Arabidopsis thaliana: one gene and its partner. The protein of the gene in region 1 interacts with the protein of each later gene in a pairwise test. Each region holds a gene or a part of one and is shown on either strand. Other genes may lie near its edges. The genes, in order: PAP7 and AT5G67130.

The links.
Region 2: the proteins of PAP7 (region 1) and AT5G67130 interact in a protein complementation assay, tested with the Arabidopsis thaliana proteins (one large-scale study listed by BioGRID).

What each region holds. Positions count from the first base shown.
Region 1 is NC_003071.7:387,103-403,183, reverse strand, and holds PAP7 (purple acid phosphatase 7), read left to right. Parts: upstream 1-8,999; 5' UTR 9,000-9,216; coding exon 9,217-9,405; intron 9,406-10,004; coding exon 10,005-10,161; intron 10,162-10,562; coding exon 10,563-10,670; intron 10,671-10,759; coding exon 10,760-10,887; intron 10,888-10,979; coding exon 10,980-11,108; intron 11,109-11,235; coding exon 11,236-11,300; intron 11,301-11,410; coding exon 11,411-11,621; 3' UTR 11,622-11,763; downstream 11,764-16,081. Other genes in the region: PAP8 (purple acid phosphatase 8), read left to right, coding at 4,016-4,216, 4,866-5,022, 5,154-5,261, 5,329-5,456, 5,610-5,738, 5,828-5,895, 5,983-6,199; AT2G01870 (uncharacterized protein), read left to right, coding at 12,865-13,338; EMB975 (Tetratricopeptide repeat (TPR)-like superfamily protein), read right to left, coding at 13,441-14,901; EXGT-A3 (endoxyloglucan transferase A3), read right to left, coding at 16,046-16,081.
Region 2 is NC_003076.8:26,780,259-26,795,788, reverse strand, and holds AT5G67130 (PLC-like phosphodiesterases superfamily protein), read right to left. Parts: upstream 4,491-15,530; 5' UTR 4,191-4,490; coding exon 4,086-4,190; intron 3,992-4,085; coding exon 3,869-3,991; intron 3,632-3,868; coding exon 3,494-3,631; intron 3,413-3,493; coding exon 3,314-3,412; intron 3,222-3,313; coding exon 2,918-3,221; intron 2,832-2,917; coding exon 2,608-2,831; intron 2,536-2,607; coding exon 2,449-2,535; intron 2,341-2,448; coding exon 2,140-2,340; 3' UTR 1,907-2,139; downstream 1-1,906. Other genes in the region: AT5G67140 (F-box/RNI-like superfamily protein), read left to right, coding at 576-664, 771-917, 1,159-1,294, 1,387-1,485, 1,565-1,780; AT5G67120 (RING/U-box superfamily protein), read left to right, coding at 6,052-6,249, 6,327-6,440, 6,773-6,895, 7,203-7,325, 7,699-7,959; ALC (basic helix-loop-helix (bHLH) DNA-binding superfamily protein), read left to right, coding at 9,451-9,687, 9,800-9,871, 9,962-10,027, 10,106-10,171, 10,266-10,457; ICU2 (DNA-directed DNA polymerase), read right to left, coding at 10,685-10,825, 10,913-10,987, 11,058-11,177, 11,286-11,339, 11,464-11,683, 11,795-11,871, 11,963-12,169, 12,253-12,336 and 13 more.

The DNA of each region.
Region 1 (16,081 bases):
ATTGTGATAAGATTATAAACCTATAAATAGCTTGATTGTTTTTTTCTTTTATCGAAGCTTCTATCTATTAGAGTGTGGGCTTCCAACCTAAAACCAATTGGCAATAGGTGGAGAGGCCCATATCTTATATATACCACTTAAGATTCTATTCAACTTTCGATGTGGAATATTGTTCCTAATACGCCCCCTCGAGATGATGGCTCTTCTAGCCATTGATCTCGATATGTTTGGGCATGGATCGGCGAGCCAAGTATTGGGCCGGATCGATGTGGATCGGGTTGAGTATGTACGGATCGGGCTATGATACCATATTAGAGTGTGGGCTTCCAACCTAAAACTAATTGGCAATAGGTGGAGAGGCCCATATCTTATATATACCACTTAAGATCCTACTTAACTTCCGATGTGGAACATTATCCCTAATATTATCTTAATCAATCTACTACTTTTTTTGCTTCGATAAGTTTAACCAAGCAAATACAGTACTGTAAATAGTTTTTCTTAATAGGTTGATTCCTTAAAAATAAATAGATTCTTCAATATTTTCCCGGTGAGAAAAAACAAAGATTATGGTATCTTGACAAAGATTCCAAGAAAGTTGGATTTCAATTGTCGCAAGGCAGGGTTTGGTTAATTTTCTTTTTGCGGCATGTCTATTAATATTGATAACCAATAATCAATAAAAATTATAAGATAATAAAAAAGTAAATAATAAATAATAATAAAATAATAAAAAATTATAAGATAATCTTAAGAATTGTTGGGGTTCTGAATTAAGGTCAAATATTCCTATTTTTGTCATCTTTTTTTTTCTTTTATATTGACTGAGTGTAATCTATACAAATACTGTATATGTAACCATTGCATTTTTTCATCGCAAATAATTTTATCCTGCAAGTTTACCAATTTATTTGTTGCATAAGTTTTGTGTCACAATTTATGTCAATCATTTCATAAATTAATAAATATATCTAAAAATGTCATTTGTAAACTTCTAGCCAAGTTTTTGTCAATAATGATTTATATCATGTTGTTTGGTATATTTTTATTTATGTGATTTGTCATTTCACATTGTTACCTATATATATGTGAACGATAGATACCTGTCAAATACCAAAATATTTTACACAATTAGTAATAGTGTCAAGTTTAAGGAGACAATAGCTATACGTACTATATGTCTATATAATTTATATTAGTATAACTTTGATCAATTTAATTTTTTATATATATTGAATTGAATCTCATTGGCTGGCCGGTGCAATATTTGATTATTTTCGTACAATTTTAAATTCTTCCTACCAGCCGAGAGGATATTTACTAATTAGACAGAAAGTGCAAATACTTTAGAAAAAATTATGTCAAATATCTTCTTCATCTTTTGTCCAATTATAAATATCTAAGATGCCGATATTGCATTACATATTACTTTCATTCGAGAGATATTTAGTAGTTCTTAATTATGGATTGTAAAAATACAGTACTTATTAAGAGGTAGATAAATTTGCGTAAAAAGCTATTAGTGGTTAAGCTAACAACGCTACATCAATTTCATTAATATTTTGGGACCACTGAGATCATAAATTCCTTTTAGGCACTATACATGATTATTTATATTTTTAATCATATAACATTAATTGTATATTTGATTTGGTATAACATATTTAATTTGGATTGTAAAAGTTTGGTATCCTATACCAAATGTCCAAATGCAACCCAATATTCATTATAGTTTTACTGTTTTAATGATCCAGAAGATATATATAACATGGAAAAATTCAAACATAATCATGATTATAAAATAATAAGATGGAAAACTAAAGATTGTTTTATGTATGCAAATTTGTTGAATAAACTAATTTCAAACAACACATAAGTTGGATAAATAAAAATAAGTGATAAATTGTCTATTAAAAATTAATAAATAAAAAATCTTACCAAAATTGTGAGTTTTTAATTTCATAACAAATAAATCAACATAAATTATAAGATTTATATTATATCATATTGGTAAAACTGAGAACAACACAATGGAAATCAGAAGAGAAAATGGGAAAAGGTTATTCGAACTTATTAACCATACTATCAATTTTATACAGTCTATTTGAATTTTATTGGTATGAGCTCATTCGAGTGGGAAAACAATTTTGGTTCAAGTCAATGAAAGCTAACCAAAACGAGTTTGGTAATTTGGTCTTCTTACTCAAAATCTGTTTCAACTTTCAACAAGCAACTACACATTTGTTCTACTGTTGGGCTTCTACTTCCAATTAGTGATCTGACCAAGTATTTGGGGCTTCTAATTAACTACTACAAATTGTTTTGGGCTTCCGTTGGTTAAAGTAATTGTTATAACAAACAAAAGAGAAGAGAAATTCTAAACAAATATCATTGCTTAAGCATATGATGATGCTCTTTACCAATTTTTATATACATTCTTTTGTTTCAACATACTTTATATCATACGCGCTCGTGATCATATCATTCCGAAGCATAGAATCTCATTTGAGATTTCGGATAGATCGGACATCATATATACGTGGATACTATTTATTTTCGCATGTGTATTTTCATGTATGGAATCTCAAAATAATTGAAAAGATTTTGGAAGTTTTCGTCGACTCTCACATGCATTTTGGATATTCTTGTAGTCGACGCCTCTTGGATCTTGTCTAGATAAGAAAAACAATACATGAACACAAATTTCAATAATTGCAAATCTTAAAGAAGAATATGGTATGGGTTCCCGTTTGGCTTGTATGACATGACTTCGGATGGTGGAGGAAATATACATCCATGATAAATTAATATTTTTATCTTATAATTCCGGAATTAAACTGATAAACTCCTAAAAATGAATAAATATCTATCAAAAAAATATAATTTTTTTTACCGTCTTAAATTTATTATTTATTGCAAATTATGAGAATTGTTACATAGCCGAATGGATATAATTGCACATTGTTGAAGATCTCCTGCACACTTGTCTCTACCAATCTGCAAATCTGCTAATAAATCACAGTATCTGGGACTCGAACCCCAGACTTTTTTAGTGTACAAAAGCATTAATGAACCTTCGGTCAACCAATGAACCAAAAAAGCTTCTAAATATGAATTTTTAACTGACAATAAATAATTTTTGATGTTGACAACGACTATTTTCATTAAGTTTAAACGAGGAAGTAAACATTTCCAATTGGTGCAGAGGCCTATTTCCAATTACTGTTAATAATTAGTTGTATCTTTATAAATTATAACAGTTTTAAAACTATAAAGGAGGTTCCTAGCTCCTTCATGGTTGTCATATTTGTTTGTATAATGACTCTGTCACTCTTCCAGTGACATAATCAAATAATCTTTGTTGGAAAAGGAAAACAAAAAACAATTTTCTCTTTTATTCGAAACTTGTGTATTATTCACGAATTTTTTTTTTCCTTGTAGCAAAGTTTTATGACAAACAGATTTTTTTTTAAAAATTATGAATCAAACCTTTTGTGTATAAATTAACAACTCGTACAATGGCCTTTCACATATGTAAGGCAATTAGCAAATAAATAAATAAAATCACCTTCAAAAAGTCCGGTCAACCTTTTTTTTTTTTCTTTCAAAATTCTCTTTAATTTCCTTGTTAATATATATGGGAACTAAAAATGTTATTTATATGTGGAACAATATATACCACGTTAATTACCTAAACATGGAATATTCAGACTACTTCTATCCACCGCCCCTTTTCATTGACGTGCAAATAATTTTCACGTAATTGTCTAAAGTCCATTTTAGTCTTATATAGTCTCGGATTGAAACAAGAAAAACAATTTTTTCGACTTTAAAATTTATTAATTATTTTGAAGAGTTATTTTTCTAGTGACAAAGTTCATTACATTATTTTTTCTCTTGCCTTTTTCTATTTTTAATTCTTGTCCACATAAGGACTAGCTATAAATAAACAAAGCCACACGAAAACCCACCATCAGGTCCATCACCTCTTACATTTTTTCTCCAAAGTCTCTCAATGGATAGCTTGAGAGATGTTAAGCCTATCAAACTCATATTTTCTATTTTCTGTCTAGTTATTATACTATCCGCCTGTAATTCAACGGCAGAGCTACCGCGGTTCGTCCAACCACCAGAACCCGATGGTTCACTCAGTTTTCTCGTTGTCGGCGACTGGGGAAGAAGAGGTTCTTATAATCAGTCCCAAGTAGCTCTTCAGGTACATATTTATGTGTGTGTTTATGTAGATATGACCTTATTTTTATGAACAATCAAACTTTATTCCTTGTCTGTAATTAAGCTAGTTTCAAGTTCTTTTTAATGGTGTGGTTTAGAAAATATGTGAGAGAATTCAAGCGAGAAGACGAAAATGATAAGAGAAATCATATATATGTTATCTTGACGTCGAATTCATCGTTTGAGTAAATTACAAATTAATTAGCTATTGTAGTTATATATTAGCAAGTAACGAACAATAATAATAAAACTGCACTGAGTAATGCCTGGGTTGTATTAACATGTAATAATATCTGAATATATAATGAGTGAGTTGATGATAATATATGAGGCATATTTCATTGTTAATTAAGGAGCCGTGAAGATGAAGTTGCATACATAATCTTTAGTTCATTACGTAACTTACGTGGAACTAATAATCATCTTAAGGCTGTCCATTAGTGTTGCAATTCTACGTCATCACTTTAATTATTGGTTGCTTCTATAATCCTATGAGTAAATGCTTTGGATTAAGGAAGACACTGACTAGAGATTTTTATTATTATTATTTTGTTTTAGTTTGTAGTTAAATGGATAGGTTTGTCGCAGCTAGCAATTTCTAATTATTGTCTATATTTTTTTGCATTGATCAGATGGGAAAAATAGGGAAGGACTTAAATATTGATTTCCTCATTTCGACTGGAGATAACTTTTATGATGATGGAATAATCAGTCCATATGATTCTCAATTTCAAGATTCGTTTACCAATATTTACACAGCAACTAGCTTACAAAAACCATGGTACAATGGTAAGTAAATTATTAATAGTATTTATACTCTGAGCATAAAACTATCTCTCTTTCACTTACAGAGAAAAAGTTATTTGACTATCAAAAATTTATATACTTATTAGTAGATTTTCATTTATTTTCTCTTGCAGTATTAGGAAATCATGATTATAGAGGTAACGTCTATGCGCAACTCAGCCCCATACTCAGGGATTTGGACTGCCGTTGGATTTGTTTAAGATCTTATGTTGTTAACGCCGGTAAGTAAATTACCAAGAACACAAGTTAATAAAACTTCTCTTTAGTTAACCCTTTTTTCTTTTGTAGAGATTGTCGATATTTTCTTCGTGGATACAACACCGTTCGTAGATAGATATTTTGATGAACCAAAGGACCATGTATATGATTGGAGAGGCGTATTACCGAGAAATAAATACCTTAACAGTCTCTTAACGGTAACTTTTTTTTTCTTACTCTACCATAAGCTAGTCATATCATCAAATTCATTGAAAATTAGAATAATTAAATTGGCATCATACTAAAACCTGTCTCGATTACAATATAGTCAAAATATGTGATTATCATTGACCTAATTTAATGATATATAGGATGTGGATGTGGCATTGCAAGAATCAATGGCTAAATGGAAAATAGTGGTAGGCCATCACACGATCAAAAGTGCAGGTCACCACGGAAATACCATAGAGCTTGAGAAACAACTTTTACCTATCCTCGAGGTAATTTTTACTATATTATAAACTACTGAATTATGTAATACCAAAAATTGAAAAAAAAACAATTTAATTGGTTTTCTTGATATATTTAGGCTAATGAAGTGGATCTCTATATAAACGGGCATGATCATTGCTTGGAGCACATAAGCAGCATCAACAGGTGATTATAATAAGTTTGTATAATTTATTAATCGATTAATTATGGATTAGTAACGTAAGATAGAGATGCGGTTTTTGTTGTTTATAGTGGAATACAATTTATGACAAGTGGAGGTGGCTCCAAGGCGTGGAAAGGAGATGTGAATGATTGGAACCCACAAGAGATGAGGTTTTACTATGATGGACAAGGATTCATGTCGGTTTACACATCCGAAGCTGAACTACGCGTCGTTTTCTATGATGGTCTTGGTCACGTTTTGCATCGATGGAGCACTCTTAAGAATGGGGTTTATTCCGATATCTAATCGATGGTCAGACAAAAAAGTAGTTAAGAGTTACGACATAATTATTTATATTAATTAGTCCATTGTTTATTATGTTGATATTTCATGTGAGTTAAACATTTTTTAATGTTGTGTGATTATTTTCGAATTCTTAATGGTATCTTAATACATGGAGACATATCTTCTCATGATTTGGTTTTGATTTCGTTTACATTTAATATATAATTATACTGTACGCATGGTTCTCGTGTTCACATTTTTCATTACCATCATATTCCACTATATATATATTGATATTCAAAAGAATTATTTTTGCATATTTCACATAAAGAGAGAAATCCTTAATACTTCTCTTTATGATTTAAACATTAAAAGACAACTAATTTGATTTTTTTACTATTGATACCAAATTTATACATTTGTATCAAATATCCGAGAGATATTAATATTATATATTTATTTCTTTAAAGATTAAAAAGTCAAATACTAATTTAATTAATTAAATTAATTAAAAAACAAAATACATTATTAATTTCTAAAAATAATAGCCAATCAAAATCAACACATAAGATTTGATATCTAAATTTTAATTAATTTAATTTAATTAGAAAAACGAAATACATTATTAATTTCCAAAAAAGTAGCCAATTAAAATCAACAAACTATATTTGGTATCTAAATTATCATATTAATTTTTTCTTAATTATTATAGTTCACTTCTCATCTTGATATGATTCTATTTTTACGGAAAAATAATATCATCATTATAAAAAAATAATTAGAGTTTTTTCGCATATGCCATAATTTGAATTTTTAAAAACGAATATAAACTGTTCAATACATGAATAATATTATAACGGGTGAAAAAGATATTTAAGAAAACTTTCTACTGAGTAACGGGACATAAATTTGAAATATATATATTCAATTTCATACATATTATATTGAAAATTTATAATCTTATATACTACAATAGTTAATAACATATTAGATGTGATTCAATTTTTAATACAAGCTGGAAAATCATAGAATTGACGGATTTAGATCGATATTAATACAAGATGGTATACTACATGTGAAACTCTTAAATTAACAATCAAACTACAAGTGTATAATCTTAAACACTAAACAATATAGATAATATCAACAAAACATATACAACTCACAGTCTACTATACATTTAAAATTAAATAAAATAATATTATATATTTTTAAATCATCTTTACAATAAAAGTTTTTAGTTTAACTAAAATATAAGCCTACCTGCGGTATACTGCAGATTAATCTCTAGATTATAGGACTTATTGGATCTAAAGACGGGTCATCAAAGATTTCCTAAACTGAAGCAAAATATACTGAATATTCAAATATCTATCTGTTACCAAATTATAAACAAATAAGTCAATTTAATATTATATATACGAAATCAATTAAATCTTAATCACATAAAATTAGCACAAAAAAAAGTATTCAACAATTAAAAAATTATCAAATCTCTGTGTTATATAAGTTTTGATACTATATTTGAATAAAGTGTAATATACCTTTTTAATTTGTATTCTTTAACTAATTTAAGCTAACTAATATATTTGCTAATCTTATATCTATCAAAACCGACTATCGTTTTTTATCTCTATAGTATTTTTGCAAGACTTTTTTGGTGGATTTGGATAAAAATGCATTCGGGTCATATGGTACATTCCTCTATTAAATAAATATGGTGCACTCCTATGTTATTAGCTAAAATGTTTAGATTATAATTCAGAGTCATATCATTAATAAAACTAATATTAATAAAATAAATGACTTTTTGGCAAGACGGATTTGGAGGAACGAGTTTTTGAATCAACATTAATAAAAAAGTAAAATATAATTAATTTACCGTTTCAATATGGGTTAAATCTTTAATTTATTATTTTTTAAGACCACTAATATTAAACATATCAAATCATCCTAATTTAGAAAAATTATATAGAACCAAAAATGTTATGTGGTATGTATAATGTTACTATATATAAAATTAAACTATAAAATATAAATGTATTAGAGAATAATACAATTTGCAAAATTTTTATATATAAAAAATAATTCTAAAATTATAAAAATTACTACTTAAAAAAAAAATCATGGGACGGGTAAAGAAATTACAAAACGTGTTTTATTTTGGAATTGGGTTATATGGTGGATGTATTTGAATCAATATTTATAAAATTTTAAAATATTATTAATATGCTGTTTTAATAGGGGTCAAAACTTCAGTTTTTTTAACAATTGTCTCATGAATTCGTGGTATATCGTTACTTAATTACAATTATAAACTGTAAAATATAAATATTTTGTAAAAATAAAATTTGCAAATTTTAATATATATTACTTTTAAAAATAAATCGTGCCGCGGTATACCGCGGGTTAAAATCTTGTTTAATATATAATTATACTGTACGCATGGTTCTCGTGTTCACATTTTTCATTACCATCATATTCCACTATATATATATTGATATTCAAAAGAATTATTTTTGCATATTTCACATAAAGAGAGAAATCCTTAATACTTCTCTTTATGATTTAAACATTAAAAGACAACTAATTTGATTTTTTTAAAACTATGGATACCAAATTTATACATTTGTATCAAATATCCGAGAGATATTAATATTAGACATTTATGGGGAAAGATATATAATTAAGAAATAAAGTAGGAAACAAATAAAAACATATACAGGAGGAAATATCCCTTGACCTAAACGTGTAAGTAACACGCAGCATTGGCCCATACATTGAACAAAATATATACTATATGATTACAAAACAAAAAGTTGTAGAGTCTTCTTAATTAATTTAGTAAAATGATTATAATTTCCTTCAAGAGTTGACCAAAAAGAAACATCCTTGATTAAATAATGTATCGACCATGTTCTTCTTATGGATCCATCTATATTAATTGTTAGCAAGGCATCTTCATCTCTCTTTATATAGGCATCATTTGTTTCTTTTGTGATTTTGTCTCATACCAGATAAAACAAAGTAAGAAGAAGATGAAGATGCACGTATGTTTTAGTGTGATTTTGATGTTTCTAAGCATCTTCTTCATCAATGGTGCTTTGTCGAAGCTTGAAAGGTTGAAACATCCGGTGAAGAAGAAATCTGATGGCTCTCTGAGTTTTCTTGTTATCGGAGATTGGGGACGCAAAGGTGGTTTTAATCAATCTCTCGTTGCACATCAGGTTAGTAATATTAATCACTTTTTCAATATTTATAATGTATTAGAAAGATTTAACAAGTATATGTAGACTAGTGGTTTGTGTTTTGTAAATCTGATAAAAATACAAGATTTATTATTTCATTTATAATTCGTTTGAATAACAAAAATACAACTTAATTAGTGACAATTATTTGTTCAAGGCAACAATATAGAGTAATACAACCCAAAGGATTTGAATTTGATTTTTTTTGTTGAACAATGTACGTATTGTTTATAGTGTTGAAAGTTGAAATATGTATGAAAATGTAAACATCAATCTATTAATTTATGAGTACATAGTCGTATGTTGCGTGCATCCTACGCAATAAGTACTAATTGAGAAAGCATATTCGTAAAGTATTCTTGTAATTGACAAATTGATACGCTTCATTAGAAAGCAGAATCCTAATTAAAATGAGATGTAACAGAAAATTGACTATCATTTTGTTTGGCAACAAATCCTTTTTTTTGTTGTATATCTTAAATCAATTTACAAAAATATTTCACGCTTATAATATCGACATGAACAAACCAGTGTTAATAAAATTTTGTTTATGTAATGTAAAACTGAAAAATTGGCAGATGGGAGTTGTGGGAGAGAAATTAGACATAGATTTTGTGATATCAGTAGGAGATAATTTCTACGACGACGGATTAAAAGGAGTCAATGATCCTTCCTTTGAAGCCTCTTTCTCTCATATCTACACTCATCCTAGTCTCCAAAAACAATGGTATTCAGGTAATTTACTTCCTTCTAATCAAAGTTTATACACATGTTTAATAGTTAGTTACTTAATTGTTTATCTATATGCCTAACTGAGTTTAAACACTCAAATGTGTTATGGGATTATTGTGTAGTTTGCAATTGTTTTGGAAAATGTCATTTTTACTAAGATCTTACAGATTTGTCGTACGTATTTCAATTTTTTTGTTGTTAAAAATACATATTTTATACCAAATACTAAACTTAAGATCAGATGGAACCGACTGACCTAAACATAACGGGTAAAATGCATGTTTAAATTATAATTTTTTAGCTTGCAAAATGGCAAAATCCATAAACTATTCAAAAAAGGCAAAATCTATAAATGCCACTAAGAAAAATGGCAAAATCTGATATTGATTCATGTGTTAATGCAGTTTTGGGTAACCATGATTACAGAGGAAATGTTGAAGCACAACTAAGTAAAGTTCTCACCCAAAAAGATTGGAGATGGTTTTGTCGCAGATCTTTTGTCTTATCCTCAGGTAGATTTTAAGGAAAGAAACAAACAAAATTAAACTATCATAACTAAATCAAAGTTTTAGTTAGTGAATATGTTTTGTTGTGGTTATAGGAATGGTGGATTTTTTCTTCGCGGACACAAATCCTTTTGTAGAAAAATACTTCACTGAACCAGAAGATCACACTTATGATTGGAGAAATGTCTTACCAAGAAATAAATACATCTCAAACCTCTTACATGTAATACATTTTCTTTCATAATCACATATATATATCTCAATCTTCTTTTTGAAATTTTCTACTAATTATAACTTATGTTATTGAAATATCAGGATTTAGATTTAGAGATTAAAAAGTCGCGTGCCACATGGAAATTTGTCGTGGGACATCACGGGATCAAAACCGCAGGTAATCACGGTGTGACTCAAGAGCTTGTAGATCAACTTCTTCCAATTCTAGAGGTAAAATTCATAATATCACTTTTATGCTAATTACATGTTATATTATCTTTATTGTTTTCTACATTGATGTACCCCAATTTAATTAACTACGATAGTTTTTCATGATTTTTTTCACTTATTACTGAAGGAGAATAAAGTGGACTTGTACATAAATGGACATGATCACTGCTTGCAACACATTGGTTCTCACGGGTAAAATTATAAGTACTTATTTGTTGAGTTTAAAATGTTTCTTTCTCTATTAAGTTGTTATATTTTGTTGAAAGAAAGAAAACTTAACATATATTTTGGAAATGGTGAAGTAAAACCCAATTTCTTACAAGTGGAGGAGGATCAAAGGCATGGAGAGGACATGTTCAGCCATGGGATCCAAAAGAACTCAAACTGTATTACGATGGACAAGGTTTCATGTCTCTTCACATCACTCACTCCAAAGCTAAATTCATCTACTATGATGTTTCCGGCAATGTTCTTCACCGATCCTCATTGTCCAAAAGATCTGCTCATCTTTAAATAACATTTCTAAGAATAAAATTTGCACACAATTTAATTTAAGTTTTTATTTACAATAAATTTATTGATGTATGATTATTGAACACAATGGTCTTGAATAATATAGAGTTTTTTCACGTTCTGAAAACGTGGTTCCGTTGAATACATATCATTTACAAAAATAGGCATGGGCATAATACCTGAACCCGATCTGAAATACCCGAACCTGTTCTATTTCAGTTTCGGTTAATTATCCGATCGGATTCTATTTTCAAATAATTGTAGGTATCGGTATTATCCGAACCGAACCCGATACTCGTAAGTAATATTTATTACTCGAACATATATATACATATAGGACATATATTCACTAATAACTTGAATTTGTGACATATTTAATGATTTGAGTTATGGAACAAGCTCAAAATAAGGTTTACTTCTTGTTTTATATTATTGTCTTAAAGAAAAACTTGTTATAATTTCAGATTTTTGGGTTTTATGGATATTTTTATGTATGTTTCGGTATATTTGAACAAAATTTGGGTAAGTAGTACTTAAACCCGAAATAGTTTTGGTTATTTATGGGTTCTTTAACCAATATTCGAATTATGCGGACCCAAAGTAAACCCGAACCGAACCCAACCCGAAATTGAACATATAACCCAACGAGTCTAAAATTTCTAAATTAGAACCCAAAAGATCCGACCCGAACCGACCCAAATATCCACATACCCAGGGCTATACAAAAACTTGTGTTTAATTATATATAGAATATGAAAATAACAAGCGAATTTTCAGTTTATCTTGCATGTTTTAAAATTATTACTAAATTTTAGAAAGTTCATTAATCTACGAAATAAAAACTTTATGGTGTTTGAAACAAAAAATCATTTTTATTCAGCTTAGAATTGTTGTCCGGTATTAAATGTGATTCATCTATTCTATTATTCAGCTGTTTTTCATAGTATTTCTCTTATATACCTTTTAAGAAAATATTAAATTTCATAGTATTCTAATTATAAAAATACTTGATATGAAATATAATACATTTTTTGGGACTAAAATTGGGCCTTTAAAGCCTTATACTTGGAATTATCACATTAAAAATGGGCCCAATTTTGAATGTCTGGTGATATAAGACTTTTATGTAAAAACAACTCCCTAAGAAGTAAAGTTATCTACAACTTTGCCATCAACAATGTCCACACAGAAAAAAATATCATCTTCCAGAGTGGTGTAGCAGAAGAAACAGAGGAAACTGATAATGGTGGTGGTGTTAGGCTTACAGTCTCTTAAATGGTACACACATGGAAGAATCATGGAGACAAAGAAGAAGAGACATTTGATGCGTATTGTCCAAGCCACTGAAAGAGAAGATTCATTCCAAATCGATAGAGATAAAGCTAGAGAAGCTCTGAAACAGCTTGATCAACAAATAGAATCTCAAGCTGATGAGAAACCAAGAATCATCAACAAGACATCATCAGATGTGGTCAGAACCAACAATGATCCAATCATGTTTGAAGAACCACCTGAGATCTCCGGATCGTTCCTCACAAGTTCAGCTTTTGTTCTCTTAGCTCTTACCTTGTTCTACAACATTTTGTTCATTACAGTGATAAAACCATCCATGGATGGACCAGAATCAGTTCCAGAAGAAAACAGTGTTGCTATGTCTGATTCTGACATTGTTAAGTTTCCACTTTCATCTTTGCCTGAAAACACTTTCAAACAGTAGAAATCTTAGTGTATCTCGTGTATATTACATCTTCACTGTTTTCAATACTGAAATGTTCACACAAATGAAACTGATAGTAAAAACAAAATTGGAACTTTGTCTTCAGTGCAAAAGAGACATTGTTTGCTTCTCGAGCTGCAGTAACCTAAATGAAGTATCTTTATCCAACCTCAATCCAGCATCTTCAACCTCCTTACATATCTCTTTACACTTTGTCAATCGCCCTGAAGCGGTATAAACGCTAATCATATCGCGATAAATATCATACGTTGGCGAGAATCCAGCTTCCTTGAGTTTAGAGTAATACCTCATTGCTCTTCCCAAATCATCCAATGCTACAAATAGTTTAATGACTACTCTATAAGCTGGAAGATCAAGAAGACAATTTGATTCTTCCATCTCCCATACCACACTCATTGCCTCCCGGTATTTTTGTTCCGAATACCGGCTATGTATCATCGTAGTGTACATTACAACGCTTGGTTCTCTGTTTGATGCTTTAAACCAGTCAAAGAGAGATTCAACAAGCTCAAATTCTCCCAGTTTCACACAGATCTTCATAATACTTGTGCAATCCTGCTGGCTCAATTTCAAATCTTCTCTTTTTTTCAGTTCCTCAAGAAGAGCAACAACAAGATGGTACTTGTCAGGGTTTTTAGCTATTTCCAGAATCATCTTCACGTAAACACTCGAGTCAAGTATTCGATTGTTACTCTTCGAGATCAGTATAAGCTTCCGAGCTAGATTCAACCATCCACCTTCAATGCATCCCTTGATCATAGCTTCAATTACATTCTTGCTAGCCAAACTATTGTCGAATTTAAGCAGTTTCAGCTCATGGTGCTTCGCCAAAACCTGGATAGTCGATGCAAGAATCCGGTTATCAGGGACTAAATGAGAATGCTTTTCAGCCCAATGATACGTCTGTAAAGCTCTCTCAGGCAAACCCATATGACCCAATTCTCGAATAGTCGTAGAGAGTGACCCTTTACGCAAGAAACTAACCCATTTATTGAGAACAAGAGAGACATCTGCATCAGAAGAAGGCAAGCTCTTGATCTCTCTAGCTAAACCAATGAGAAAGCTTGGATCTTTATACACTTGCTTCGATACAGAAGACAATGCAGGTGATCTGATAATGTTCTTCTTTGGAGTTGGAAGACCTAAAGGTCGTAACTTGTGAGGTTGAGGAAGTGGTAAAGGCCTAACTCGACTCGGTTTATCGGGTTTTTGAGGTATCCTTTTCTGAAACAGCGATGAAATAGCCTCGATTTCTTCTGGTTCCCATACAACAGCATCATCATCATCATTCACTGATTCTTGAACTTGCTCATCATCATCATCAATCACTAGTGGTTCAATTTTGGGTTTCCTAAGAAACAAATTAACACCAAAATCAGGAGGAAGCTTGGTACGGCGTGGATTACGGAGATTCTTAGTGAGTTTCTTAGAGTGATTCCTTTGACTAGCGTTGACTCTTGTTACTCCTATGTTTCCGATTCTACTGGTTCGAAGATTCAAGTGAAAGCTAAGTGACAAAGAGACAGGACAGTGTAGTATCATTCCTAAAAAACACACGAAGTTACGGTTCTAATTCAAACCCTAATTCCGATTGAACCTTAAGTAATCGTTTCTACAATAGAATCCGGAACAGCTAGGGTTTTGAAATCAAACACAAAGCTTATAAAAAGGATTAAACTTTAGGTCTAGAAACAAAAACCCTTGAAGAATACGAAAGAACTATCTTAGTCTAAAGAGGAAATTTGATGAGAATCTTAGCGAGCTTGAGATAGAGAGAAGAAGAAGAAGAAGAAGAAGAAGAAATCAATTATCCGACCCGGTAAACACGACCCGAAATGACCCGACCCAATTGAAAATGATATTTTTGTTAATTTATTTAAAAGTAGTTTTGCGGATAAACATTAGCTTACGTGGCAAAACCTTTGGAAGCAAGTAGAGTGTTATACAGTTGTAAAATAGCTGGCAAAAAAAGCAAAACCATCAACTTCAAAACGACTAAACACAAATGAATAATGAGCTAAGCCAATTTTGTCTAGTTTTTCACAATTCTATCTTTTAGATGGTCCCTAAAATTTTGCCAAATCCGACTTATATGTATATAAAAAACAATTTTTTTGCTCCATACTTTTCTTTTGATATTTTCCTTATAGTTAAATCGTTTGTTAATAACGAAACAAACATTATTTTTGTTGACAAAAATGAATTGTTTACTCAAGCTCAAATTTTGTTCGAATGCGAAAGGTACCATGTGTGATCACATAAAAATTTTGTTGTATGTAATAATAATACTACATATGTGCATGAACATGACCACACAAAATTAAAACAATATTCGTCGGACCCATTGAATAAAACAAGTACAAGCGAGACAAAACTCTCGTCACATAAAGTACACAAAATTGAATACAAATATAAATTCCAAGATATCTGAAATTATTTACACCGATAATATTCGTAAACAACTGTAAAGTATTCACAAAAACAAGAAACAATTTATCATATATAAAAAAAATATCACAAATAAATAAATTAATTATTTTTTCTTTTCTTATAATGATATACAACTAACAAATGACAAAAATGCCTCCTCTATATGTGAAAATGCATTGAATCATAAATAACCAAAATAATGGACTTATTATAGAACCCCCAAATCTCACCCATACTATTTTGCCTATATATGTTATCATATCGACTCGGTTCCATCAACCCGGCTTCTCTT
Region 2 (15,530 bases), on another chromosome or scaffold:
AGATAGTTTTCCTTCTTTACTCTTTGTCTTTTAATGAATAAATTAACCTATAAGTAATTTGACAAAATAACTTCTTCTTGCATAAACACATTGAACACGAAAAGTACAAACGTAAGATGAGAAAAGAAAATTACAGATAACGTCATGTCAAATTTAACAATTAAAGTATGTGTTAGTTCACTAACATTTAAATATTTTGTGAAGCAAGCAACACAAAAAATAATGTATTTTTGAGTGAATAAGAAAGATCTTTTATTACGCACCGTAGGCCGTGGCATGTGCCACGTGGCGTACAGAAGAAAAAAGACGGAGTCCTAGAGGTATTCTTCTACGCAAAATCTTGGACCGTGTAATAAAAACATTTATTAAATCATATAAATTAATTTCAAATTTTTTGTTATAACGATTAAAAAATATGACGGAACTATGACCACATCTTCTGCAGTTAAACCATGAAAAAGACAACATCTGCTTCCTCTGCAATTATGAAGAACTAATGATATATACAAACAATTCTTAATACATAAAAATCTTCTACAAATATTGATTTAAGAAGCTCTAAAATCATACAAGTCATGGATGAAGAAGCAGCGATTGATCGTTTACCATTAGACCTTCTTGCATATATATTTTCGTTGGCTACTTCTTTCACCGTTTTGGCCCAGTAAGTGTTTTCATTGATGATCCTTACAAGTTTGATCCTCTCTTTTTTTGATTAAATAAATCATTGTTGTGAGATTGAAGTTTTTGGTGAATTTTGGGGTTTTTAGGGCAAGTGGTGTTTGCAAGAAATGGAGAAAAGCTGTAAATCAATCGATGGCGAGAAGAGAAACTCTGAGCTTTGCTGGTTGGAAAATGGACGATGATTCCACTTCTCGTCTCGTTCATCTTGCTTTCAACCTCAAAGAACTCGACATGTAATCTCTCTCTCTTTCTCTCTGTTTTGCTCTTTGTTTGTTTCTTGTACTATGATCGTACTTGATTTGTCCTTCAATGGCGGATTAAGAGTAAACAAGATTGGTGGGATAGTGGAGATTTGCTGAATTTTTTGGTCAAGTTTCCAACTTTACCTTTAGGGTGTTTGAGATAGGATATTGACTTGGTCAAAAAACAGAACAGAACTATAAACTCTGTTTTTTTCTTCTTTCATATTTGAAGATCTCGAAGCAGATGGGGTTGTCATATAACTGATAATGGTCTTTACCAAATAGCTTCTGCAAGATGTGTATCCAATTTAAACTCTGTCTCTTTATGGGGCATGACCGCCATTACTGATTCTGGTGTTGTTCAACTGGTAAAATCTAACACCGTTTTTTGTGCACTGGAATCTTGAAGATTCCTTTTTTGTTTTAATCATTTCAGAGAATCTTGATTTTGATTTGACAGATTTCAAGAACTTCCTCACTGCAACACCTAAACATAGGAGGAACATTTATAACCGATGAGTCTCTTTTCGCAATTGCAGAACGCTGCCATCAGCTTAAGGTAACAACAATCATCTAACCAAATAATTCTCTCTAGATTCATGAGAATCACGCTTTCGAAATTGGAATCCTTTATGCAGACAATCGGAATGTGGTGTTGCCGTCATGTGACAGAGAGAGGCCTTCTTGTTCTTGTAAACAAATGCAGAAAACTCGAATCCATCAACTTATGGGGAACTAGAGTTCCTGTAGATTGCTTCATTGCTTTACTTACCATCAGTCCTGCTCTTCAGATCAAACCCATGGAATTGCTTCTCAATGCTCAGAATCCACCACCGTTGCTGCATGCTGTCTAGTGTTGCTCATCATATTTCTTGTTTGTTGTGTACATAGTAATTCATACAATTGAATCTGCATATATCTTATGTGTTCTCTCATCAATCAACAACATATATATATAAATATTCAGTAAAGTTTCTATTGGAGTAGAATTGTGTCTATATATATATATATATAAGTTGCATAACAATCAACAGAAGCTGAAGACACACATACACAAGATTTCTGCCTATAGCTCTGCAGTCTACAATACAAGAATCAAATCAGAAACTCTTTCTAAGGCAATTCATGTCAACTTAGGCTCTCTCATTCGTTCTAAAGAAGTGATCAAGATTCTCTAACCTAAGAATCTCTCCACGTGGTTTGATTGGTTGTGTCATAGTAGAAATATCAGCAACGGAAGCAATGAGAAGCAGAAGACAACAATGTTGTTTAGTTGGGCCACAGAAGCTAAAGATCTTGAGAACTGAACTGAACCTGAGTAGCTTCCACCTGAGTTGCTTCCAGCCGTTGAATCCATGCTTGGAGTTCTTGTCTGTACAGTAACATTTTTGCATGAACCATAAGCTGCTCCTGGCTGCAACATCAAGAACCAAAATACGGGTGCCGGTTTTAGATAATTTAGGCTTGTAAGATCTTATTTCATACCCATAAGTAACTTTGGCGCGAGTTAATAAGTTAATACCTGGCAAGCAGAAAGAGTTTCACAACCGCAAAGTACCGGTCCATTCATTCTATCCAGAATTTCGAAAACGCCGCCTCCATCACTTCTCTGCAATATTATGGTTTGTTAGCTAGATCTCGTAAAAACAGTCATATTATAGTTATATGATTGATTCAGTACCATGTAGAAGTTAACAGCAAGAAAGTTTGGCATTCTATTCCCTCCTGACTTGAGACAAGTCCCAACCATCTCAGCAAGTGGAGCTGAGTGCTCCTTGCAAGCGTCTTTCTCAACCGGATATGTCGGGAAGTAATTCATCAAGAATAGCGAAGAACTTTTTGAATTTAAAGGTTGAGACTCTTTTCTGTTAGGACAAGAACCTCGCTTCACTCCGGGATCCCCAGCTTTAGACAATCATAAGAAAATGGCAAGAGAAGGTTATTCTCAGAGACAATTTTCATTAAAGATATAAACTGTGTGTAATACGCACATTCATTTTCAACCATGTATCTCCACTGATACGCAACGCCTTCTTCATCTTCTTTGGCAGCAACAGAAGTGAAAACCAGGAGCCTATGATTCTCTTGCACCATGTCAGTCACAGTAGGCCAATCTTCTCCCTTTCTAGGCATTTTCGAAACAGGGAACCAGTATTTGTCCAAACCAGCGTTGGCAAACAGTGTTGATAAGCCTTTAGGTCTGTGCACATAATCCTCTATTATGATGGTAACAATCTCTGTTGGGTTTTGACTCAGAAATGCCTCAACTTCCCTCAGTATGTTAATTGCAGGTTGCTGATTCAAAAAGAAAACAAAGTTCACATTTACCAATCCAATCAGGTTTCAAGCTTTCGATCCAGCAAGGTTAAGCTGAAGATAAAACTTACAAAAGCGGTGAAGTTGAAACATTGCCCTCGAAGCGAATGGCAAAGCCAGATATCATTGTTGAAGTCATACATATCCAGCATTAGCCCTCTAACTCCATTCTAGAACAAAAATATACATTCAAGAGTTTTATCCAAAAAAAGAGGAAACTATAATAAGAGAGTTGGTAATAAGAGCATTACTTGTAGCTGATTAGTAATAGTATCTTCTTGATTGTAAAATGTAATCCTCTCAACACCTGGCAAAAGTGGTGCATTTGCATTGCTAAAGGCATTATGAGTCATCAACCATGTATACTTGTTAAAAGGCAATCCATTGATCTACAAAAAACACACACACAAATTTCATCACCACATCTTCAAAGTTCAAAACTTTTGATACAACCAAATGATCTAGACTATCTTTTAATGCAACCAAATGAAATCTTCAGCAAAACCCATCTTCAAAGTTCAAAACTTTTGATAGACCAAGTGATCTAGACTATCTTTTGAAACAACGCATCTTCAAAAATTGGAAACTCTAGAGAAATCCAACTAATTATAGGAACTAAATCTCACAATGGAAGTTGGACTTGTGGCTTGGCCTCTTGTGCAGACGGGTTTACTTCTTCCAACGGCAGGACAGTCTCCACAGTATAAACCAGAGACACAATCAGTAGCCGAGGAGCATGAATCCAGCAGCTGAAAGAGACACAAAAATGCAAAATCCCTAAAGATTTAGACCCAAATTTGATAGCCATAAACCAGAGAATAATAAGCAAAGAGAATCAAGAACCTGGCAATTTCCATTGGAGCAAGCTGAGGAAAAAGAGAAAGAAAGAAGAAGAAGAAGAAGAGAGACAGTCACGGCTCTGCATAAGCCATTGATGCACGCCGACATCGCTCCGTAGCTTATGCAGAGATAGAGAGAGAGATATGAATGATGTTGGATCTACTTGGGGGGGTTTTCAAAGACGAGACAAAGAGATGTTTAGGTACTAAAACCCGGGCTTCATCGATTTGTTTTGTTAATCCTTGAAAGAGAGGTACAAAAGAAAAAGATTAGCTTTGGTTTTCTTTTTCTAAGACAAGGTTGAATCTTTTTCCCACCTAGCTCCTAGAGAGAAAATGAAGAAACGATTAGTAAAGAAGATAAACCACCTTTCAAAAGGAGTTCAATTTTGAGCATAATACAGTTTAACATTATAATAACATAACTCAAAACTACAGTTTCTAGTCTTGTACACCAAACATATGGAGTGACATTTTTGTCAAGATTTATGGAAACAGTGATCTTGTAAGAGTTTATCAATATAAGTAATAATGGTTTTATATTATTTCTTCTAGTTGTTAGGTGAGGTCTATCATAAAAAAAAAAAAAATTATTTCACAGATCACTATTTTCATTCTCTAAAATTTGCTCAGTTATAAGATTTTTTCACCTATTATTAGATGAAGATATCTTTTTTCTATTATGGTTAACGGTGCTCACATGCGTGGGGACACTCTTGTCTTGTTGCTTGTCTCTTTGCTTCTTTCAATGAAAAATGTTACAATTTTCATCATCTTACAAAAATTACTCAAACATCTAGGTGAAATTTTATTCTTAACGAGATTTATCATACCATGCCTATTTCATCTGCAGATTCGTCAGCAAGTGACGTATCGAATTAGTGACACTCTTAACGATCAAATGATTAATTTCCATTAAACCAAAAAAAAAAATGATTGATTTCCATAACCGATTTATTCACAATTGGTGATTTAACACACAAGTTGCTGTAATATACTCTTGATGTGTTTTTAACTTGAGATTTTTTTTTTAATACACAAAAAAAAAAAAAAACTTTTGTAGTTTGGACATTTACGTCCATTGAGTATGACGTCGTCGTCGTGTAAATTCTCTCTCTGCCTCTCGCTATAACGCTAGGCCCATTTACGTATTTTACTGAGCCTTTTTAGTTGGACCCAAACTCTCTCTTTTTAAGCCCATGACCCAAGTAATGTAATTAATCATCTTGTGAACTTGTAAATGAGGAAAACAAGATGCATATCTCCGGTTTAAAAAGCGTTTTAATGACGTTGAAAGCAAATATACAAAGCCAAAACATAAAATTTCCTTCCTTTTTTTGTTGAAAGCAACATTTATTATTTTTTGTACTTATTCACTCTAAAATGATATTTTTCCATTGAAGAAAATTCAATAAAGAAATGTTTTTCTATAAAAAACCAATTCAACTGTATTAGAGCTATAATTAAAACAGAATCCTTATTTTCAATAAAATAAATCTTCCGAATCCAGCTAAAGTTCCATTTTTATTAGCTGTCACAATTTTTTTAATTGAATTTTTAACATTTTGGGACTTCAAACTACCCAACAATTGTAAATCAGTGGTCTTTTTCTCCTTGAACTTTTTTTTGGTATAAACCTTTTTTCCTTAAAGTTGCTAAATCCTTTTATCCATGGAGGCACTGAAAAGTGGGTTATATGCATTATTTATCGTTTAAGCCTTAATTTGGTATATATATTTTTCCTTTAACTGAGCTACAATATATTTAGTGGTTTTTCTTTGTTCATAACGTCTTTATTTTTTCTATTACTTTATCAATATTAAGACTATCCTGTCCACTCAAGTATTTGCATTTGAATGGAAGAGTTAAATGGTGATGATACTTGAAAGTGTTAATTATCTATATAAATTCAGCTTAATCTAGCCCCTTGAAAAAAAATTTTGAGTCAGGTAATATGTTTCTCCAAAAGTATGGATCCAAACGAAGACAATTCTGAGATACCGGATAGTCCTTTTAGCTTCATGTGGCTACTATTTGGAGACGACTGGGATCTATGGGACACTTACTCACCAGTTGATGCTGATGACATCTCACCAGATCCAACGCTTGATGTGAACGGTGATGGTCCGGCAATAGAGCCCGGTTCCCTTCTGAGGACAATTAGTTGGGTAATTATCTATTATCTAATGTTTTTTTTAAGAGAAATAATTTATTTGGATATAATATAGACATGAAAATTGTTTAGGAAACAACGTTCGAGCAGGACTCGTTACAATCATGGAACGATGAACAATCTGAAACAACATCAGTAGTAGAGTATACAGATGTATCTTCTCATGGAAACACCTTCACTAACGAGGTATAGTATAAATCTAGACTAGATTAACTTTTGATATGCAAATCTCTTAGCATTTCAAATATATTTCAAGAGTTTATGAATCAATATTGGAGGAAATAAGATCCAATATTATTGACATTTGAAAGAAAAAAAAAAAGGATTTTGATTTGTTTTGACATTCCGTGATTTTACGTAATCATTTCCCTCGTATCTTGTTTGGTTTTAAATTTTCTGTTTTTGCGTGGGAAAACATTGAATGTCACTTAATTGAGTAATTAATTATCTATTATCTAATATTTTTCTTTAAAAGGTATAAAGCTTTTAGATATAATCTAGACATTGAAATTATATAGGAAGAAACGTTGGAGCGTTACTGGAGAAACTGGTTACAGTCATCGACCAATGAACAATCTGAAACAGGATCACAAGAAGAGTATACAAATGCATCTTCTCATGGAGGCACCTTCATTTACGAGGTATATAATAAATATATAGACTAGATTAAGTTTCGATATGCAAATCTCTTAGCATTCAAGTATATTTAGAGTTTATGAAACAATATTTGTGGAAATAAGACTAAAAAAAAACAATTGCCATTTAAAAAACAAAGAAAGGTTTAAATTTTCTATGATATTTAGTGAACTTAAAATAATCATTTTCATGTATTTTGTTTGGTTTAAAATTTTTCGGTTTTACATGGAAAACATTAATATCACTTAGTTGGGTAATTATCTAATATCTAATGCTTTTGGATATTATAATATAGACATTGAAATTGTATAGGAAGAAACGTTGGAGCAGTATTGGAGAAACTGGTTACAGTCATCGACAAATGAACAATTTGAAACAGAGTCACTAGAAGAGTATACAAATCCATCTTCTCATGGAGACATCTTCACTTACGAGGTATATTATATATGTTATAACTAGACTAGATTAAGTTTTGATATGCAAATATCTTCAAAAACTACTAAAGTGTTTACATCACATTTGAAAGCCTTCACCATTTTTTCATTTGTTATGAACATTGTATCTTAGAAGTTAGCACTTTAGAGTTTTTTGCAAGATAACATTGAAAATTTAATGCTTCCAGTATTGGTTAACTAGTCGGTTGCATGTGTAGTTTTCAAAGAAGTGCATTTGAATCCTAGATGTAGAAGAGATTAGGACTCTCTTTAATAAAAATTATATGTACCATTTTGGTTTCTTGATTCTAGAGTTGTATAAGCTGCAGAGTTTAGATATCGATAATTTTATGAATGAATCTTTTTTTTTCTAGGAATTATTGAGCATCACTGACGAAACAGGAGATGAACGCACTGGTTTAAGCGAGGAAGTGATTGATGAGAATCTAATAAGAAGGAAATATGAAAAGCGTAGCGACGATGAAACGAAGAGATGTGTGATCTGTCAGCAGAAATTGAAGGACAATGAAGAAGTTTCGAAACTGGGATGTGGGCATGACTTTCACTTCGGATGCATCAAGAATTGGCTAATGGTCACGAACAAGTGTCCTCTTTGCAACCGAGAAGTCGTTTAAATGTTTTATCAAGTTTGAAAGATTCCGTTTATCTCGTTGGATTTCAGTTTTTTTGTTTCTTTCTTTTGCTATGAACCATAATTACCAATATTTCCCTTTTTATCAAGTTAGAAAGATTCCATTTATTTAGATGGCAAGTTGGATTTTGATTTGATTTCTGATTTTGATTATTATCATCTATATATATATTTTTGCAGCCACTTTGTGAAATAAATTCTGGAGTTGGGATTTATTTACAGCGGCTGTCATTGGCATTTAATAATTGTTTTTGATAATTAGAAAGAAAATCTTCTAATTAAATATTTGACATTTAACAATCTTTCCAAAATCTCTCTACCTTAACTACACGATTAATTACTAAAATAAAACTTCTAAAATATTTAATATCATTTAATTACTACAAAATTATCATTTTTGATATTGCTTTTCTGCATGATTATAATCATCAAACCGTAGAGATATTTGATAACATTTAATTACTACAAAATTACAAAATATTTAGACAATAATTCATAAACATATCATAAATAAGATCACATTCATAAAATAAATGAGTTTTTTTAGAGGACGGGTTGGCGGGACGGGTTTGGCAGGACGTTACTTAATAACAATTGTAAACTATACAATAAAAATATTTTATAGATAGATACAATTTACAAACTTTTATATATATTAATTTAAAAAATAAATTGTTTTCGCGGTATACCGCGGGTTAAAATCTAGTTATTCTTATTTTTGCTATGAACCATAATTATTTTAATTACTATATTATATATATTTCCCTTTGGATGCATTAAAAAAAGGCTAATGATCAAGGACATGTTATCGTCTTTGTATTGACCATTATAATATCTGAATTTTATTTTGTGTTAAATAATCTCTCGAATAAATAATCTTTCGAAATGCATGCAGTTTTATTCACACTTTATCTGTGGACAACAACAACAACAAAAAAGAAGGAAAAAATAGATTTTTGTAATTTGTCAAAAATGGTGAAACTGTTGCGAGACCTTACTTTTCAAGTAATTGTCCATTTTCATGTTTAGTCATAATAATAATTAAATAGTCTATCAATGCTCTATCTTATCAATACTCTTATTTTTTCAACCGTTTCATTTACTGATTTTCATAATTTCATCCCCTCCTCTCAATTTAACTTATCACATTGAAAAAAACAATAAAAATGTATGTTTTTTATTTACTTGGTGGTCCAAAAATGCTTTTTTCCTTTTTTTTATTAGGTAAAAAATATAATATTATTAAATAAAATTGCTACAAAAGGAAACTGTTCACACACAGAGTGATGTGAGACACCAGATTCTGTCTATAGGGATTCGACACGCCACTCGCCTCTTTTAGAACCTCCACGCGCTTCTCTGAAGAACGTGATCTCACGCGTCCTACCTCCCCCGCCTATAAGCTTTACTACGAAAAAGCCACAGTGATAATTTTTACACACAGAGTAGAGCAGAGAGAGAGAGAGAGAGAGAGATGGGTGATTCTGACGTCGGTGATCGTCTTCCCCCTCCATCTTCTTCCGACGAACTCTCGAGCTTTCTCCGACAGATTCTTTCCCGTACTCCTACAGCTCAACCTTCTTCACCACCGAAGAGTACTAATGTTTCCTCCGCTGAGACCTTCTTCCCTTCCGTTTCCGGCGGAGCTGTTTCTTCCGTCGGTTATGGAGTCTCTGAAACTGGCCAAGACAAATATGCTTTCGAACACAAGGTATAAACTTAACTATTCTTAGCTGCAGAGATGCTTCACTTGGCTTTCCTTGTAAAAGAAAACAAAAACCAAAATTAGTCTCTTTTCTTTTTGGAATGGCTAAACACTAAAGAGAAGTGGAGCTAAACAGAGAAATTCGTTGAAGAGAAACATTGATGCTCAATTCCACAACTTGTCTGAAAAGGTTTTCTCTTTTATCTTCCTTTTAAGATTCTTAATTTAGAAAGAAGAAGAACCTTGAGATTGTAGTTGATTAGAATCTGAGTGTTAGCAGAAGAGGAGGAGCAAGATCAACGAGAAAATGAAAGCTTTGCAGAAACTCATTCCCAATTCCAACAAGGTTAATCAATCTTTGTTCGAATCAGAGATAGTGAGAAACATTGTTCTGATTGATCCGTTATCTTTTGTTTGTTTATAGACTGATAAAGCCTCAATGCTTGATGAAGCTATAGAATATCTGAAGCAGCTTCAACTTCAAGTCCAGGTTTTTTTCCTACTTACTATGATTATATACGTTCAAAGTCTGATTTGTAAATTACATCACTCAGATCATTAACTTGATTTACTGCATGATGCAGACTTTAGCCGTTATGAATGGTTTAGGCTTAAACCCTATGCGATTACCACAGGTTCCACCTCCAACTCATACAAGGATCAATGAGACCTTAGAGCAAGACCTGAACCTAGAGACTCTTCTCGCTGCTCCTCACTCGCTGGAACCAGCTAAAACAAGTCAAGGAATGTGCTTTTCCACAGCCACTCTGCTTTGAAGATAACATTCAGACAATGATGATGATCGGAATTCCTCTAGTACCTGCCAGACAGGAGTGAACAATGTTTTGAGTTTTAGCATTGGCCAGATTTCTATGTTCAGTTATAGTTATGCTAATAAGCTTTAGGAGTGAACAAAATCTGAGTAGTTTGATTATAATGATGTCTGAAGCAGATTATATATAAAAGACTAATTTACTTACATATGAGATGATTATTACAACTATCAAATGACTATGTCTGTGAGTTGCATCCATCCATAAGCACACCGGTCTCTACTACTTCGAGTGATTGCTGCTGCTGACTTAACCGCAGGTCTTATCTTCGTCATTGCTTTCTCTACTTGAATTCTCACGCCAACATCCATCTGTTATTTCAAATGGTACCGATAACTTTAGGGATATAGACAAGACAAATTGATATTAATAATATAACAAGGTTGTAAAGTAGAAACCTTTTCTAAAGAGCATTGTGTGTCTAAGATGTGGCAGAAGTATGACAGTTGCTTGTACAAGTCTGCTTCAGTGTACTGTAAAGTCAAGAGTTAGTCTGTGAAGCAATAGAGAGATAGGAGTTATAAGGTTGATGATGGTATATACCTTTCGTAAGAGGGTTCCGTTACAGTTAGGATAGTTTGGGCAAACTGTCCCCCGTTCACGTTCACCGAGTAGACGAAAGTTGGGGGAGCGGGTTGTGTGCTTGCATGACTCGTCTTCACACTGTTGAAGGCAAAATGTACAAGAAAACGTCTTAGCATAAATTAAGAAGGACAAATCACAAATGTTCAGAACTATGAGGAAAAAACAAGGCGAGAAGGTTTTACATACCACCATTATGCCTTTGTAGTACATTGACACAAATCCATCGATCTGTCTTTTTACCTGAAAGGCATGATAATGAGTTAATAACTGAAGCATTTGTCCTGCAGGCCAAATCACAAGGATACATATTTTTTATTCTGAGAAACTTAACAAATTAGGATCCTTTTCAACAAAATTTGCCTACCTGGTTAGCTATCATTGCAGGGGATATTATTCCCGTGCTATCTTCCTGCTGACATTTCGGGCAATGCAGTTTAAGCCAGAATGTGGAATCAGATTCCTCTGTTTCAGGTGTTGCAGGTTTCTTACTGATTGACGCACAAACAGAACTAATAATAGATGGACAGTTGAAAGCAGTAGAGCAGCTGGGGCATGTTAATGCTAAAGGCTCGCAACTTTTATATCTGCATTTTTCCATGTAAATTACGTTGTTGCGGATCTTAAGTTTGAGGAATATTGCAAATCCGTGAAGCAAATATATGATAGCAAATTACAAATGGGAAAGATATCAATACCTTTCTTCATCGCTTGTTGCGAATAAGAGGGAGGTAGAGGGATCACTGCTTGTAGCATCGTTTGATTTGCTTCGGTACTAGAATAAAACATTATTTCCACATCAGTTATCATGAATTCATGATCACTGAATATGAATCGGAAATTTGCTGGAGTGAAAGCTGTTTTACCTTTGATGGGTCAAGTCCTAAACATTCAGCTAGACGTTCAGGACTTGTTCCTTGAATCTCTGCGCATAGACGAGACACCACCGGATGAATCTGTTGTGCTAAGTAGTAATCTATGTCAACCAACCATCTGCTGCCTTCTGATTTCACCTCATCAGGATGCCTAGCACGTTCGGCAATTCCTGCTGAACTAGCAGAGCTAGCATTACCCTGCACAGAGGAGGCATAAAATATTTAGTAGAAAAAACTAAAGGGTATCTTATAATATTTAGCTGGTCTTCTGTTTTGGGAACCTGCTCATAGCAGATTATATACGGTACAGTATCCTTAGCATTGAAACCTTCTTTATAACCACGTTGCCTCATTCTGAGTGCAACCTGAGAAGAAAAATTTAGCCACACAATCAGAGAGTTAAGTTAAGTGAATATATAGAAAGCATATAATAAGGGAGAAATAACGAGAATAATAGCTCTCATACTCACTTGAACGTGTGGTTGGCTTTTGGAATCTGGATAAGCTGCAGGCGGTTTAGTCAATGTCTTGGTGATGACATACTTCTCAAGAGCAACTTGCCCATTTCTCATTTCCTCTTTTATCTGTTACATGGACAAAGCAACATGTGTTGGATGATAAAGACGATCAAACTAATTAGCAAAGATTAATAAATCATAACAAAGATTACCTTCATTAGTTCGTTATGAATTGCTTCAACAACATCCTCACAGGATCTGCACAGAAGAAGAGACTTGTTGTGCTTGCATGAGAGAGTAAAAACAATGTTCTTTAGTTGATGTTTCAAAACATACCCTCCATACAAGATTTTACTCAGGCATAAATCTCCTATTTCCTTCGAGAGTAAGCTCCAATCTCGACGAACCATATCCACACCTTTTCTTTCAATGTCCTGCATTGAGAATGCATCTAGTACCCATAATTTTCTGCAAGAAAGGGTATGCAAAAATGTTTACAAAAAAACAATTACCTCGCAAGGCTTCCCATCCTTAAACTGCAACTTGACAGCAGCATACTTCTTTTTTCGAAGAAGAAGCATTCTCTTGTATATGCCATCACAGTCAATTTTTAGACATCTATACTTCTTATTGACCTAAAAATTGAAAGGGGAAGGCCCAAAATCAAATGTCTGATTTTTCTTGTATAAATTTTTTATAATCTTCTTAGAGAAGCACTTTCCCCAAGGAAAGCTATATAGAGATAAATCTAGTATCCAACCTACCTCTTGGATGACTTTTGATTTAATGGCTTTCACCTCTTCAATATCATCTAGTCCGCTGTGAATCATGATTGAATCTGTGTCACCGTATATTACCTACGTAAAAGCAAGATTTTAATTCTAGACTTGATAGAACAGAGTTGTTTACACAGTTCACTAATTTCTCTACTGAAATGCATTTCCTGAGACTCCAAGTATAAGAGTTACCTCTAGATTTAAATGGTTCTGGACAAGATCCACGGTTCTTTGCAGGATATCCCTTCCCTGCAATGTTAAGCCAATCAGCCTGATCACGCAAAAATAGAGAAAAAAAGAAAAAACATGTCACTAGAAAACACAGAAAGCATCACTTACCTGTAGTGTTATGAGCTCTGCTAAAGGCTTAGCATAGAATCTTGAATTAGAAAACCCCAGACAGCCATACATACTGTGTTTAGAATGAATAAAAAAACATAAACATCAAATTGCGGTGATTGGCAATTATTGCCGCACAAGTAAAACCATAAAATGCAAACCTATTGGCTGTGAGCTTCAATGCCTGCTGTCGAATGTCAAGCTCCCAGTACTTGAGACCTGTTTCCTTCTTCATCTTTAATTTGACGCTTTTCCTTATACTGACCAAATGTTCCATCAACTAAAACAAAGACATATAGTGGGATTCATGGGCATACCAGATCAAGGAGAGAAACTTAAAGTCGAGGAAAAAAAAATGTATATAGCAATAATTTAGACGATTATGTCAGAATTAGGTTTACTTAAACTACAGAAAGCAGCAGTCACCAATACAATACTGACCAGCTAGGTCGCATTGTTCTGAGGATTTCTCGCATATCCCTTGAGAGGTTAGGAAAAGAAAATGAGGCAAAATATTTTGGTTGTTGAATTTTTCTTTCAATTAATTTCTGATTGGGTTGGGGTAATTTATAGATTTGACGTTGGATAACCTATAACATATAGAAAATATATACGGAATTGAAAATAGTCACAGTAAAATGCAAACTCGTGTAATGATGACTATACCTTTGGAAGAATTCCAGGTGTCTGACTCGAAGGTAAACGAGGAACTCCATCTTCTGATCGTGGTATAGTCGTAAAACAGATATTGTATTCCTGAAAATATCATGACTGTTAACTACCAAGCAGGCGGAAACATCCACCAAAGGCTTGAGAAATAGAAACAATCTGCTAACCTGTATAATAGAAGGGTAAAGACTATTGAAATCCAGAAGCAAGACATATTTGTCATATAAGCCTCTCTTTGGCTCCAAGACCAGTCCACCAGCGTAGGCTGGACCTTTTTTTGTTTTGCTGCCCTTAGACGGATCATTCTCCAAAGTCAGGTCAGCATCCAATTCATCTACATTGCGGTCTTCTGGAGCATAATCCATTCTTCTTTTTGATGACTTTATTTCCTTCATACGTTGTGAAATTTTGTCAGGGAGAATGAACTTTTTCGAGTGGAATGTATGTAGTAAGTAGTATTCGATTCTCTGTGCCCTGGCTCCCTGGTCATGAACAAAAAATGCATGAGTCAGCACAGTAACACATATTTTCCCGGATGGGAGGGAGAGGGAGAGTCATTACTTGAAGTGTTTTCCCCCAAAGATTGCCACTTATGTTAGTAAGCTGGAGAGTGAGAGGAAGAACACTTAGATGAAACATGAGCTCCATGGATAACCATGCATCCGTCTCACCACATTCAATCTGAAAGAAAAGAAAATCAAAGGGTTATAACAAGCGAGCAATTAAGATGCAGTCATCACTCATCAACCTTAAGTGACTGCTGTTATCTGCAATCCCTTTACTTCTATGTATGACTGGATTATTTATTCTTCAATAGTTTGCACTAAATTGTTTCGCATGCAAGGATTCATAACCTATCGTCCCTAATGTGGTAGTACCAACTCATACATAAAACAGACATGACCGGGCTCATCGAAGAACTTACAAGTTCCACAAGTGTTTTGGATGACTGAAACATTTTGGGAATATCATTAGGCGCTATCTCTTTCCTGTCCCGGTTCAGCTGTGTCTTTGAGAGGTCCGTTAAAGAATAACTGACCTGCAAGAAACAGATGCTTATACATGAGGGACTGAGCTTCAACTTACTGCTTACAAGACCTGCAAGGGTATCATACCTCCTTCAACAAGTCACGAGAACACAGATCTGTATCACACAAGAGCCTTCCAGCAATACAAGACATGAGCCCTGGTGTAGCTCCTGACCCATAATTACTGTTTCCTTTAAGCTTAGGCATAAAAGAGCGTTTGAGTCGGCCAATTTTGGACCACATGCTACTCTGAACTTTGCAAGCCTGCACAATAGTAATCATTCAGTTT